3 linked regions of the Danio rerio genome follow. The protein of the gene in region 2 purifies or fractionates together with the protein of the main gene of each other region. This does not show direct contact. Links are inferred from orthologs where the notes say so. Each region holds a gene or a part of one and is shown on either strand. Other genes may lie near its edges. The genes, in order: ppp2r2d, ppme1 and ppp2r2ab.

Region 1 (3,657 bases), on a different chromosome or scaffold from region 2:
CACTCCATAGATGACAATTTCTAGAAACGTCCACAGCTCTCAATCTCATTCAATATTTAACTAGAAACCAGTGCTGCTGCAGGAGAAGAGAGACAGACTAACCCGTAGTGATGTGATTCGAAACGGATCTCGCAGTCGTCCGTCCTCGTCTTTAAGGTTGTATCCTTCTGCTCGTTTATCCCTTTCGCTGATCTTCCATAATTTGATGGTTTTGTCTTTTTGAAAGGGACACAAAAATGCAAACATCAGTTACAGGAAAAAAAATTGCAGATTTAAAACCTAGGAGCTCACATTTTTCATTAACCTGAGAAAAAAATATGTACAGTAGAAGTCAAAATTATGCGCCCTCCTGTATATTATTATCTTTTAAATGTTTCACAAATTAGGTTTAACAGAGCAAGAGATGTTTTCACTGTAGTTCCCATACAATTGTTTTCTAGTAAAAGTCTTGTTTTATTTCGGCAAGAATAAAAGCATTTTAAAGGCCAATATTATTAGCCTTCTTAAGCAATATTTTTTCTCAATTGACAACAAAACAAACGATGGTTATACAACGCAATGTTTTCCCTATCATTACATAAGAGGGGCACCCCGCCCTCCCAACGGCTGTCCCCGCCCCCTTAACCCCTTCAGACCCTGCGTCCATTTCAATGGACATCACATGACATCCCATTTTTCTGAAATTTGGAACATAATTCAGGTCTGAAGGGGTTAAATTCACATTAATTGTATTTCATATATAGCGCCAGATTACAGCTATTTTTAATAAACAAGCTAAACAGCCGTATGTAATATCTCATTTAAACAACAGCATGTCATTTCAGTTCTACGCTCGAGTCACTGCAGCTAAATGTCTCCAGCAAATGCATAGAGCAGTGGTTACCAAACTTGTTCCTGGAGGGCCGGTGTCCTGGGCCCGGTTTTTCCAAAAGTAATCCACTAGGATTTTGGATAAGGGATTGGATCAAATCTTGAAAATGGGTTTTTCAAAAGAAAAAACAGATTACCTAATCGGATTAGATCTGGTAATCCAGTCTTGGTTTGGATCCGGATCAAACCTTTACTTTGGGGTTTTCAGACCTTTTTTGTAGGATTTGGATCACTTTGATCCAAAAAACCTGGATTAAACTGATCCCATCAGGAGGGTGGATTTAGTGTGGATTTCATGCCCAAAATGTAATGAAAACTTAAATGTATTAAATAATATTATTTTTGGATCATGCAGTATCTTACGAGATGTATACTATTTATTCATAAGGTTTTAATTTTATTTGTTCATCTGTCAGGCTATAGTAATTATTGGCTTTAACATACTCAGCCTTTCAGTATAGGCCTACAGAAAAGTAGAAATAGCTTGGCCTCATAAAACAATCCCCCAAACAGCTGTCAAAATTGACCAAAAACAATCATTTTTATTCCGTTACTAATTAATATAAATATATTCATCACAATAGAAAATATTTTTGTGTTTAGAATATTTATTAGTGATGCATGCAATAATTACAGAACAACCAAAAAAATGCAAAGAATGGCAATCAATGATTTTTGAAATCTTTCAACAATTGCAAAAAGAGACTGAAAGGGCAGAAGCACAACTTCATCTGGCAAAGGAACAACCGACTCTGACCAAACTGCAGCAAACCAAGGCCAGACTTGAGATCTGCCTCCTAAAGGCTTTGCTCAGACAAGCTGATCTCCACATCAGATGAGGAAGACTGAACTTATTGTGGAGTTTTTGAAATTAAGTCTTTTTTTTTTATTTACATCTATATTTGAAACATTATAAATACCTCAATGTACAGTGTTTGTGTTGCAGGTCTCAGATGAGTTGATTGCTGGAAGAGGATGGGGTGGGGTTTTTATTGTTTTATGTGTGTGTTTTTATTTCAAATAAAAATATAGTTATATTAATAAGTTATATTGGCCCCACACTGGCTATTCTACTTGTTGCTTTTTACTGTACATAGGCCTATCTATCCATCTACATTGTGATTGAGCACTGGTTATCCAGATTTAGTGATCCTGAAAAGTTCCTATCCGGATCAGATTGATCCAATCTAATGTTGCTTTGAAAAACTGGCTTAAAAAGTAAGCTGGATTACGTGATCACGGATCGCAAAACAAGGATTACTAAATAGATCAATTTGATCCGGATTATACCTTTTAAAAAAACGGGACCTGCATATTTTAGCTCCAACCCTAATCAAACACACCTGAACGAGCTAATCAAGGTCTTACCAGGTATACTTGAAGCATTCAGGCAGGTGTGTTGAGAAAAGTTGGAACTAAACCCTGCAGGGACACCGGCCCTCCAGGACCGAGATTGGTGACCCCTGGCATAGAGACTCCCGGATGGCCACAAACGAATGATAATCTCACGAAAATTGCACATCTCCCGCCAAGTCCTCAAATACATCCCGCATCCCTCTCTGCTCTTCAGATGCGTTGCGCACATCCCATGCTGTGATGCGAGCGGAGCTATCTCCTCTATCTAGTGTCTAGTTTAATCCTTGATCCCAAGGATTCCATATCCGGGACCAGGCCATATCCTGAGCTGCTGCTGTGCTGATGGTCGTGGGGAGTGGAGAACATGAGTCTGATTCCAGCAACGCTCCAGGGACAGACGAGTCTTCGCTGAGGCCATCTTCCAGCCTCCACCACGGCGAATGAAGCTCTGCACAAGACTTTTGGCCAGCGGTGAAATTAAAATGGTCTTGCCCAACTGAGTCTGGTTCTCTCAAGGTTTTTTTTCTTCACTCCCATCAGGTGAAGTTTTTTTTCCCTCTCCGCTGTCGCCACTGCCTCGCATGGTTCAGGATTGGTAGAGCTACGCATCAATGAATTTGCTCTTCAGTGTTTGAACTCTCAGTAACGATTAAATCACACTGAACTGAGCTAAACTGAACTGAACTGAACTTAAACACTAAAACCTGAACCACACTGTTCCAGTTACTATGACCATTTATGTGAAGCTGCTTTGACAAAATCTACATTGTAAAAGCGTTATACAAGTAAAGCTGAATTGAATTGAATAGTTATGACCTCTCCCGAAAGCTCTGCGTGTCTTCCGCAAATTCATACCGGCTCAGTGATCCCCCAAAATTAATTAAAATACCAGGAATTCATAGTGACGGGAGTGAATAAGCAAGGGAACAGATCGCGAGAGGAGCTATGATGGAGGAGCAATAATGGCAGCCCCAATCCACCCCCCCCCCCCCCCACTCTTTTTTTATTGAATAAATTATGAATTTCTGACAGCAAAAACACTGATGCCAGACTTTTGAATTGTACTGTAGTGCATAATGAAATCAAACGTTTAACTTGCAGCATTTACCGTTTGTGGACAGTAGAAAGTGCGCAGCGTTCTGTTGCGGCAGCCATCTGATTTTATTGATCTTCTCCTCGATTTCTAAACTTTTCAAGTAATCAAACTCGGGCTCGTGACTCTGAAAAGTGCTGTACACGTTGTATTCGCCTCTTGAGAGCGGGCGGTTTTTACTCTGTGGACATAAACATGGACACACACGCATATAATAGCACTCTGATTGAGTCACACTTACTAATAAGATTAAAAATAAAGTCTTTGAGTTGCATTACCTCCTGTTCTCGCTGAAATATGACGACTCTTCCCCCTTTGTCTCCTGTGGCTAGTAACTC
Region 2 (3,657 bases):
ACGCCAGGTGTACAGAGATTCCTTCTTTATCTGCCACATGAAACAAAATCAACAAACATCTGTACATAAAAAAGTTGTTCTCCTTAAAATGTGTGTGAAAATGTAAGGAATTTTGTATTAAAAAGATACAAGCTAGTCAATGTATTTACTTCCACCTTTGAACAATTTAATATGTCTTTGCTGATTATGTCTTTCAAACTTTGCTGATATGTCTTTCAAACTAAATAAATGTAAATGACATCAAGCTTTTAAACAGTACTGTACTGTACTGTACTGTCAGCATCACCTCTTGGTCATCTTCTTTCTTCCTTTTATGGTTGGATTCTCCTCCTTCTTCATCCTCCTCTTCTTCTTCAATGATGCCTTCACTGATGCTCTTGGAAACCCCTGGACTACTCAGTGGCTCCTCGCATCTATACATCCAAACATGTGCGATCATGTAATATATGCACAACAGTCAAACACTTCTGCATGTCCTTGTGTTGGTTGCTTTAGGTAAACTAAGAGGGTGGCAGACTTACTTTTTCACCTGTCCAACCATAGACACTCGTGCAGATTCAACATTCCTGATCTGGCCACTTTTCACACTGTTAAAATGAAAAAATATATACATTTAGAGATATAGATAGATTTTGGTCTTAATTGAATTATTTGAATTTTACAGCTTGGCGGTTCATTCCGCTGTGGCGATGCCTGATAAATAAAAGGACTAAGCTGAAAGAAAATTAATTAATGAATTTTATGGCTGCAAAAAAATGACAGTGATTTCAGTGATTAATTGTTCCAGCTTAAAGTTGAACAAAGTGGATGCGTTAAACGAAGGGGTGTCAAACTCAATTCCTGGAGGGCCGAAGCCCTGAACAGTTTAGTTCCAACCCTGCTCCAACACACTTACCTGTAGGATTCAAACAAGCCTGAAGGACTCAATTAGTTTGATCAGGTGTGTTTAATTAGGGTTGGAACTAAGCTGTGCAGAGCTGCGGCCCTTTTGGAACCGAGTTTGACACCTGTGCGTTAAAGTTTTAACAAATTGATTACTTATAGTATTAAGTTAACGTACATTACAATATTTCTGATGTTCTGCAAGCATTCATAAATTATTTAATGAAAAAAAAGCATGCTGATTAGCTTGGTAATTTTGTATGGATACAATTACTGATCTTGTGATTTACTTATGGAGGCTATATACAGGAATTGGAGAGAGAAATTCAATAGTTCTTAAGACCTTTTTTAAAACTCCGTCCAATACATTTAAACTTGTAGACTTGTAGAGCTACGCATCGATGGATTTGCTATTTAGTGTTTGGACTCTCAGCAGTGAATATTAAAACACAATGAACTGAACTGACCTAAACTGAACTGAACTGAACTTATACTCTGTTTCAATTCACTATGATCTTCTATGTGAAGCTGCTTTGACACAGTCTACATTGTAAAAGTGCTATACAAATAAAGATGGAATTGAATTTAAAGACCTCATTGCTACTTTAGGTGTTACCTGTAATATTAGAGACATTTTAACTTACAGCATATTTACTAAGTACTGATTGTAAGAAATCTATGTTGAGTTGTGTGTGCATGTTTTTCCTATGTTGTCGTGGGCATACTCCGGGTGCTCCGGTTTCCCCAACAGTCCAAACACATGCGCTATAGGTAAATTAAATAAACTAAATTGGGCATAGTGTATGTGTGTGAATGAGTGTATATGAATGATTCCCAGTACTGTATTGCAGGTGAAAGGGCATCCGCTGTGTAAAACATATGATGAAAAAATTGGTGGTTCATTCCACTGTGGCGATCCCTGATGAATAAAGGGACTGAGAAAAAAATGAACGAATGAATAAATGAATATAAATGCTAATCCAGCAGGTGGCGCCTATCCGATTGTTAAGTGTGACGTCAAGCAAAGCAGCTTCCGGGTCCAAGCACAATATCAAACTGTATGGGAAGACTCGACAAATGATAATAATGAATGTTTACAAAGCAATGTAATACTTTCAAAAATCATGATCGCAATATCCATGCCTAATATCAGATGGCCAGAAAATTATTCATTTTTTAACAATTGTTAAAATATTAACGTCTGTGATGCAGCAAGTCTAAAGACTTTTGTCTACACCATGATATTCGATTAAGTTCACTTTAATGTGTGACATGACTCAAAAGTGGTCCTAAATTATTATTTTTTAGATTCAAATGAGTAGCGGCTTAAACCCGTAAACAGTATTTTATATATCACCAATACATCACAACTTAAGCGGATAGAACAGCAGGAATAATGGTGTTGCCTTGGTTACTGCAGTAACCAAGGCAACGTGATGTCAAATCTAACAGGAAATTATCGATTTCATAAACTACACAGCATGTCAATATTCGCAGATTAAGTCCTAGCAAGTTTTAGTATACAACTATACATTGCAGAATCAAAAAAAATACAAAATTTAATACCAAGTAAAATAGCATTTAAGGGTGTACTCACACTAGGCTATCCGAACCGTACGCGGGAGCATTTCCTGATTTGTTTGACAAGTGTGAGTGTATCGAACCGTGCCCCGGCCGCGATTCAGTTGGCTGCTTCTGGCCTGGGAAGAGGTGTGCCAGAGTGCTGTTCGGTTGGGCTTTGGCGCGGTACGCTTGCAGCGCGAGTGCAAAGCATGCCTGAGATAAAACTAAAGATACGACGTCACTTTTAAGAGATTTAACCCTTTCTGCATGCCTAGGTTATTATTGACAGCAAGATTTTTTAAGTGAAAAACATGAATGGTGGGGACATTTCAATAGTTGATGGATATTGGTGGGGACACGGGCGCCCTGTGATAGTGAAAATATTTTAATTAATTATTATTATTATTTAAGAGATAAAGAAGTAAACACATCTGTGAGGTAACCAAACACATTTTTTAAAGATGCCCCTAGATATTATTGTCAACAAAACGCTTAGCTCTGTGTACCTCCATTCAATTGCATTCTCCACTGATTTAAATGTTTTTGGTCGACTTCTCAGAAAGTTCTGCATGCTGTTCAAGGCATCCATTGCTGTGCCTGAAAAATGAGCAATAAACATCAATAGATGCATACAAATAACCAACAGTCGCATATGTTCAAACTCAATGGAAATCAGTGACAAGCATACACTGTTGATAGCAGAAAAACGTACCTTCCACTACATCGATAACACAAAGACCAAGCAGAGATGGCACATGATTGGCTGCAGCTGTGTGAACTGCTATAGCTCCGCCCATGCTGTGTCCAATAATCATGATTGGAGGTGGGTTTTCACCATAAAGTGCCTCCACCACTTTTCCAATATCCCTGAAGAAAAGGTAACATTTATATTAAATGCTAAAAATAAAATCTCTATTATGCAGACTTTCAAAAGGTGTATGTACTCACTTGGCCATTGTTTCAGCAGAGAGGTCGTCCGGGTTCTTTACTTTACTATCACCTGAAGAATTCAATAGGAAAATGTGACATTTGAAAGTTGGTATATTTAGCTATATTATAAGAATGATGTTGAAATATGATTTTAAAATCTATATTCCTTATTTTTTTTTCAGCTAATTAAAGGAAGATTTCTGAAATTAACACAATTAATAAATCAGTTACCATGTCCTCTGAGGTCCATCGCTACAACTCTGCAGGTGATCCGGCTGCAAA
Region 3 (3,757 bases), on a different chromosome or scaffold from region 2:
AGACATCAGCAACCAAATCAAGGAAAAACTAGTATAATTTTGTTATAAATTCGATTTTTACTATGATGGGTTCATTATAAAATATACAAAATACTGTAGTTAACATAAATGTTTTCTAGTAAATTTTAAACATTATTAAATAAATTTAAAAAATTACCCATGGTAAATTACCCCACCTATATTTGCCTTCGGCCCAATAACAGTTAGCCTCAATCAATTTGGTTTTCCTTCATGAGAAAAAGTTTGGGCACCCTTGCTATAAGCGGTAATAAAATGTTTTGTGGAGGACGCCTATATTCCATCACTGCCATAAAACTGAACCCTCCCACTCCTCACAGTCACGACTCTGACCTGTAAGATTTCTACGTTACTTATCGGGTAAGTCTGAATAACAGCGTTTAATGAATAAAAGGCGTTCGTCTTTGTCATCCCTGCGGATCCTGCCGCTTTTAGCGGCTTCCAGTCTCTCTGCGAAGCGCGCGGCAGTTTGACTGCACATGACTCTGCAGATGCCGGTTAAAGTTCTCCAGTTCAATGGAGGAGATTTAAAGAGGCCCGCATTTCCAATATATTTATACACCACACCAAATAATACACACAAACAGAAAAGAAACCGGACGTGTTACTCAGTGCCTACTCATTTACACAACCGAGATATAAAAAATCCCGCAGCCTGACCGCGCATCCCGCTAACAAATGATGAAAGGGTTAGCAGCAGACATGTTTCCACTCAAATGAAGCTCATCGCTGAAACACACCTCTATCACAGAAAAAAACAACAGTATTGCTTAAAACATCCTCAAATGATCTTTGCACTATAAATAACATAAGATGGAAATCAGTTTTGTCGATTTACTGGCTAACTGGAGGGAACGAGGCTGCTAGGCGGCTAGGCTACTGTCAGTAGAGCAGGAACGCGATGGTGGCTCCAGTGCAGCCGCTGCGCTCATTGAAACAAACAGAAGCGATTCCCTAGTTCACGGTGAATTGGAACAATCTCTGCTCAAGCAGCTCATAAACTTGTCGAGTTACCTGCCATGGCGAGAGTGGCGATGTCGGACCCTAGTCTTGATAAGCAGTGTGAAGGCGACCAGAGCAAAATTTCCAAGAGAGTCGCCGGAAATGCTGTTTTTCAAAATAAAAGTGCTTCTGATACTTCTGGATAAAAAGGGAAACAAGAAATAAAAAGCAAACAGATTTGTTAAAGGTATAGTTCACCCAAAAATGCTAATTCTGTCATCGTTAATTCACCATTTATTTATTTCAAACCTTTGCATTTCTATAATCTGTTGAGCACTATGCACAAATGATTTTGGAAACCTGTAACCATTGACCTCCATAGTATTTGCATTTACTACTATGGAAGTCAATGGTTACCGGTTGTCAGCTCTCTATAAAATATTCTCTTTTGTGTTCAACAATAGAAAGAAACTAAAATAGGTTTGGAAAAACACGAGGGAGAGTAAATACTCAATTTTGGGGCGAACAAGCATTGGGCGAAAGCATATATTACAATATTTCTAGTTATTCATGCAGGTAACCCAAATAAAAAGATATAGCTGACAGTAAGGTTTTCCCTGTTTTATGAGTTATTATGAAAATCTCTATTAATACACTTTGTTTAACATTGGTTCTGCTTTTGTCAGGACTGATAAATACTAACCATTTGTGCATAATTTATCAAACCAACTTATTAGTGGTCAATAACACTGAAATATTCATAGTGAAGGTAAACAATGCCAAGAGCTTCATATGACAGGCATCTTTGGTATGCAGCTTTATTTACTAGAGTACATTGGAATCATGCCCATATGATTTAATATGATGCTAAAAATACATGACGTGCCAACATTCAATGTTCCTTTTGATTTGGGAGGAAATGCAAATATGCAAATATCAAACATAATAAATAACTAAAATGTATTGTCTATTTACAAAGTTATGTATTACACTGATATCTTTAAACTGAAGTGAATATAAAAATATTTAAATGATATGCAAAAATTGTAATATGCTTTATTACATATAAAAAACAATGTAAAAAAATATATATATCCTTTATTACATAACAAAAAGTAACATATGTCATTAATCTTTCGGTTACTACAATAAAATTGTAAAATACTACATAATAGTTTAAATCAATACTATAATAAAAATCATTTCAGGTTTTAAACAATTTTCCCAGTACTGGGTTGTGGCTGGTAGAACATCCATTGCGTAAACATATGGTGGAATAATTGGCGGTTCATTTCTCTGTGGCAACCTCTGATAAATAAGAGACTAAGCTGAATGAAAACTGATGAATGAATACATTTTATACAATGTTTATATTAAACTTACTTTAAAATCCTTTTCTTGTACTTGTATTTTGAAAGGGAATCACGCTTTCGGGTCCGCTGTTGCGTCACTTCCGGCTCTTACCTTGGCTTACTGCTGCTGCTGCTAGTTTTTGCTATCAGAACTGTCCAGAGAACTTTGCAGGGTTTATTTTATTGCAAGCAGCTCCTCTGCAAATGCATGAAGAGGAATGTCGGAAAGACGCTATTTTTTGTCGGTAGCCCTTCAGTTCGCTATTAAATGTTGAAATGTTCTGTCTTTCCTCCTCAGCTTTCTCCTCCTACACTCCTCTCAACATTCAAAATGGCGCAACCCCGCCCTGTCATGACGTAATCGGCGCTGGCCATTCATCAGTGGGTGCTGGAGTAATGATGTAACGCCACTGAACTTGTGTGGGCAGATGAGGATATGAAATGCGTTTGTCACAAAGTTATGTGCATTTATTTAAAACTTTTTTTTTTTTTTACTTTAAGAAGAGGGAAACAATTATGCCTAAACTTTTTTGGATGGAGTGTCTTTTTTTGATAAAAAATGTGACAACAGACATGTCAGACGATTGTTACATTACTCTGTATATACCACCCCAAGATGTAATTTTTTTTGGACCAACTTCTCTGACTGCATTCAATGGAAGAGAGCATGGTTATTACCTGAAAAATTCAGCATATCCAACAAAATAAGAGAGATACATTTTAAGATCTTGCATAATGTTTATCCTACAAATTCCCAAATTGCGAATTATTTTGATATATCTAATTTGTGTACTTTCTGCAATACACATGAAGAGACTTTATTTCACTTATTCTATAGTTGCACTCACATTAAACGTCTTTAAAATGACATTACTTTTTATTTATCATCCATTTTTAAACATGATTTAAATTTGTCTATAAAAGATATATTTCTGTATTTCTCGGATGATGGTCATGCTCTCGATCTTATTGTAAATTTTTTTGTGTTACACTGTAAATTTTTTATACACAAAAATAAGTTTCTAAAAACAATACCTGTTTTTAATACTTTCCTTGTTGAAATTTCGTATATATTGAATCTCTTAAGCTTATTAATAATAAGAAAAATAATAAGTTTCTTAAAGCTTATGACAATCTTTTTTGTTAATGTTTGAGGCTGTGTATTTTTAATTTTTCTCTCTGTCTTCTTTCTTATTTTTTGTTATTGTATTTTTTCTTCAATGCAGTGATGTTATTATTCTTGTATTCAATAAAAAAAAGATGAGGATATGAAATCTTTTTATTTAATTTTTAAAGTTTATATTATTTATCCTGATCTGTTATTGTCATTGTGTTTTTCTGTGTAAATTGAATTTTGTATGTTTGTTATTGAAGTCAATAAAAAAAAAAGATGAGGATATGAAAAAAATTTACTCCAACAGCATCAAATATTCTACAACATAAAA

What was found.
Region 1: the proteins of ppme1 (region 2) and ppp2r2d purify together in Homo sapiens (affinity purification with mass spectrometry; 4 studies listed by BioGRID and IntAct, counting the BioPlex papers as one, with this or other methods). This does not show direct contact. The link is inferred for Danio rerio from reciprocal best matches to the Homo sapiens genes PPME1 and PPP2R2D.
Region 3: the proteins of ppme1 (region 2) and ppp2r2ab purify together in Homo sapiens (affinity purification with mass spectrometry; 3 studies listed by BioGRID and IntAct, with this or other methods). This does not show direct contact. The link is inferred for Danio rerio from reciprocal best matches to the Homo sapiens genes PPME1 and PPP2R2A.

Annotation. Positions count from the first base shown.
Region 1 is NC_133187.1:43,811,896-43,815,552, forward strand, and holds part of ppp2r2d (serine/threonine-protein phosphatase 2A 55 kDa regulatory subunit B delta isoform), read right to left. Parts: coding exon 3,598-3,657; intron 3,501-3,597; coding exon 3,335-3,500; intron 216-3,334; coding exon 103-215; intron 1-102. UniProt on the Homo sapiens protein: Substrate-recognition subunit of protein phosphatase 2A (PP2A) that plays a key role in cell cycle by controlling mitosis entry and exit. Involved in chromosome clustering during late mitosis by mediating dephosphorylation of MKI67.
Region 2 is NC_133196.1:26,824,749-26,828,405, forward strand, and holds part of ppme1 (protein phosphatase methylesterase 1), read right to left. Parts: coding exon 3,607-3,657; intron 3,446-3,606; coding exon 3,394-3,445; intron 3,313-3,393; coding exon 3,158-3,312; intron 3,043-3,157; coding exon 2,952-3,042; intron 588-2,951; coding exon 522-587; intron 414-521; coding exon 287-413; intron 31-286; coding exon 1-30. UniProt on the Homo sapiens protein: Demethylates proteins that have been reversibly carboxymethylated. Demethylates PPP2CB (in vitro) and PPP2CA. Binding to PPP2CA displaces the manganese ion and inactivates the enzyme.
Region 3 is NC_133185.1:23,747,583-23,751,339, reverse strand, and holds the start of ppp2r2ab (serine/threonine-protein phosphatase 2A 55 kDa regulatory subunit B alpha isoform), read right to left. Parts: upstream 2,630-3,757; 5' UTR 2,344-2,629; intron 1,159-2,343; 5' UTR 1,040-1,158; coding exon 1,033-1,039; intron 1-1,032. UniProt on the Homo sapiens protein: Substrate-recognition subunit of protein phosphatase 2A (PP2A) that plays a key role in cell cycle by controlling mitosis entry and exit. Involved in chromosome clustering during late mitosis by mediating dephosphorylation of MKI67.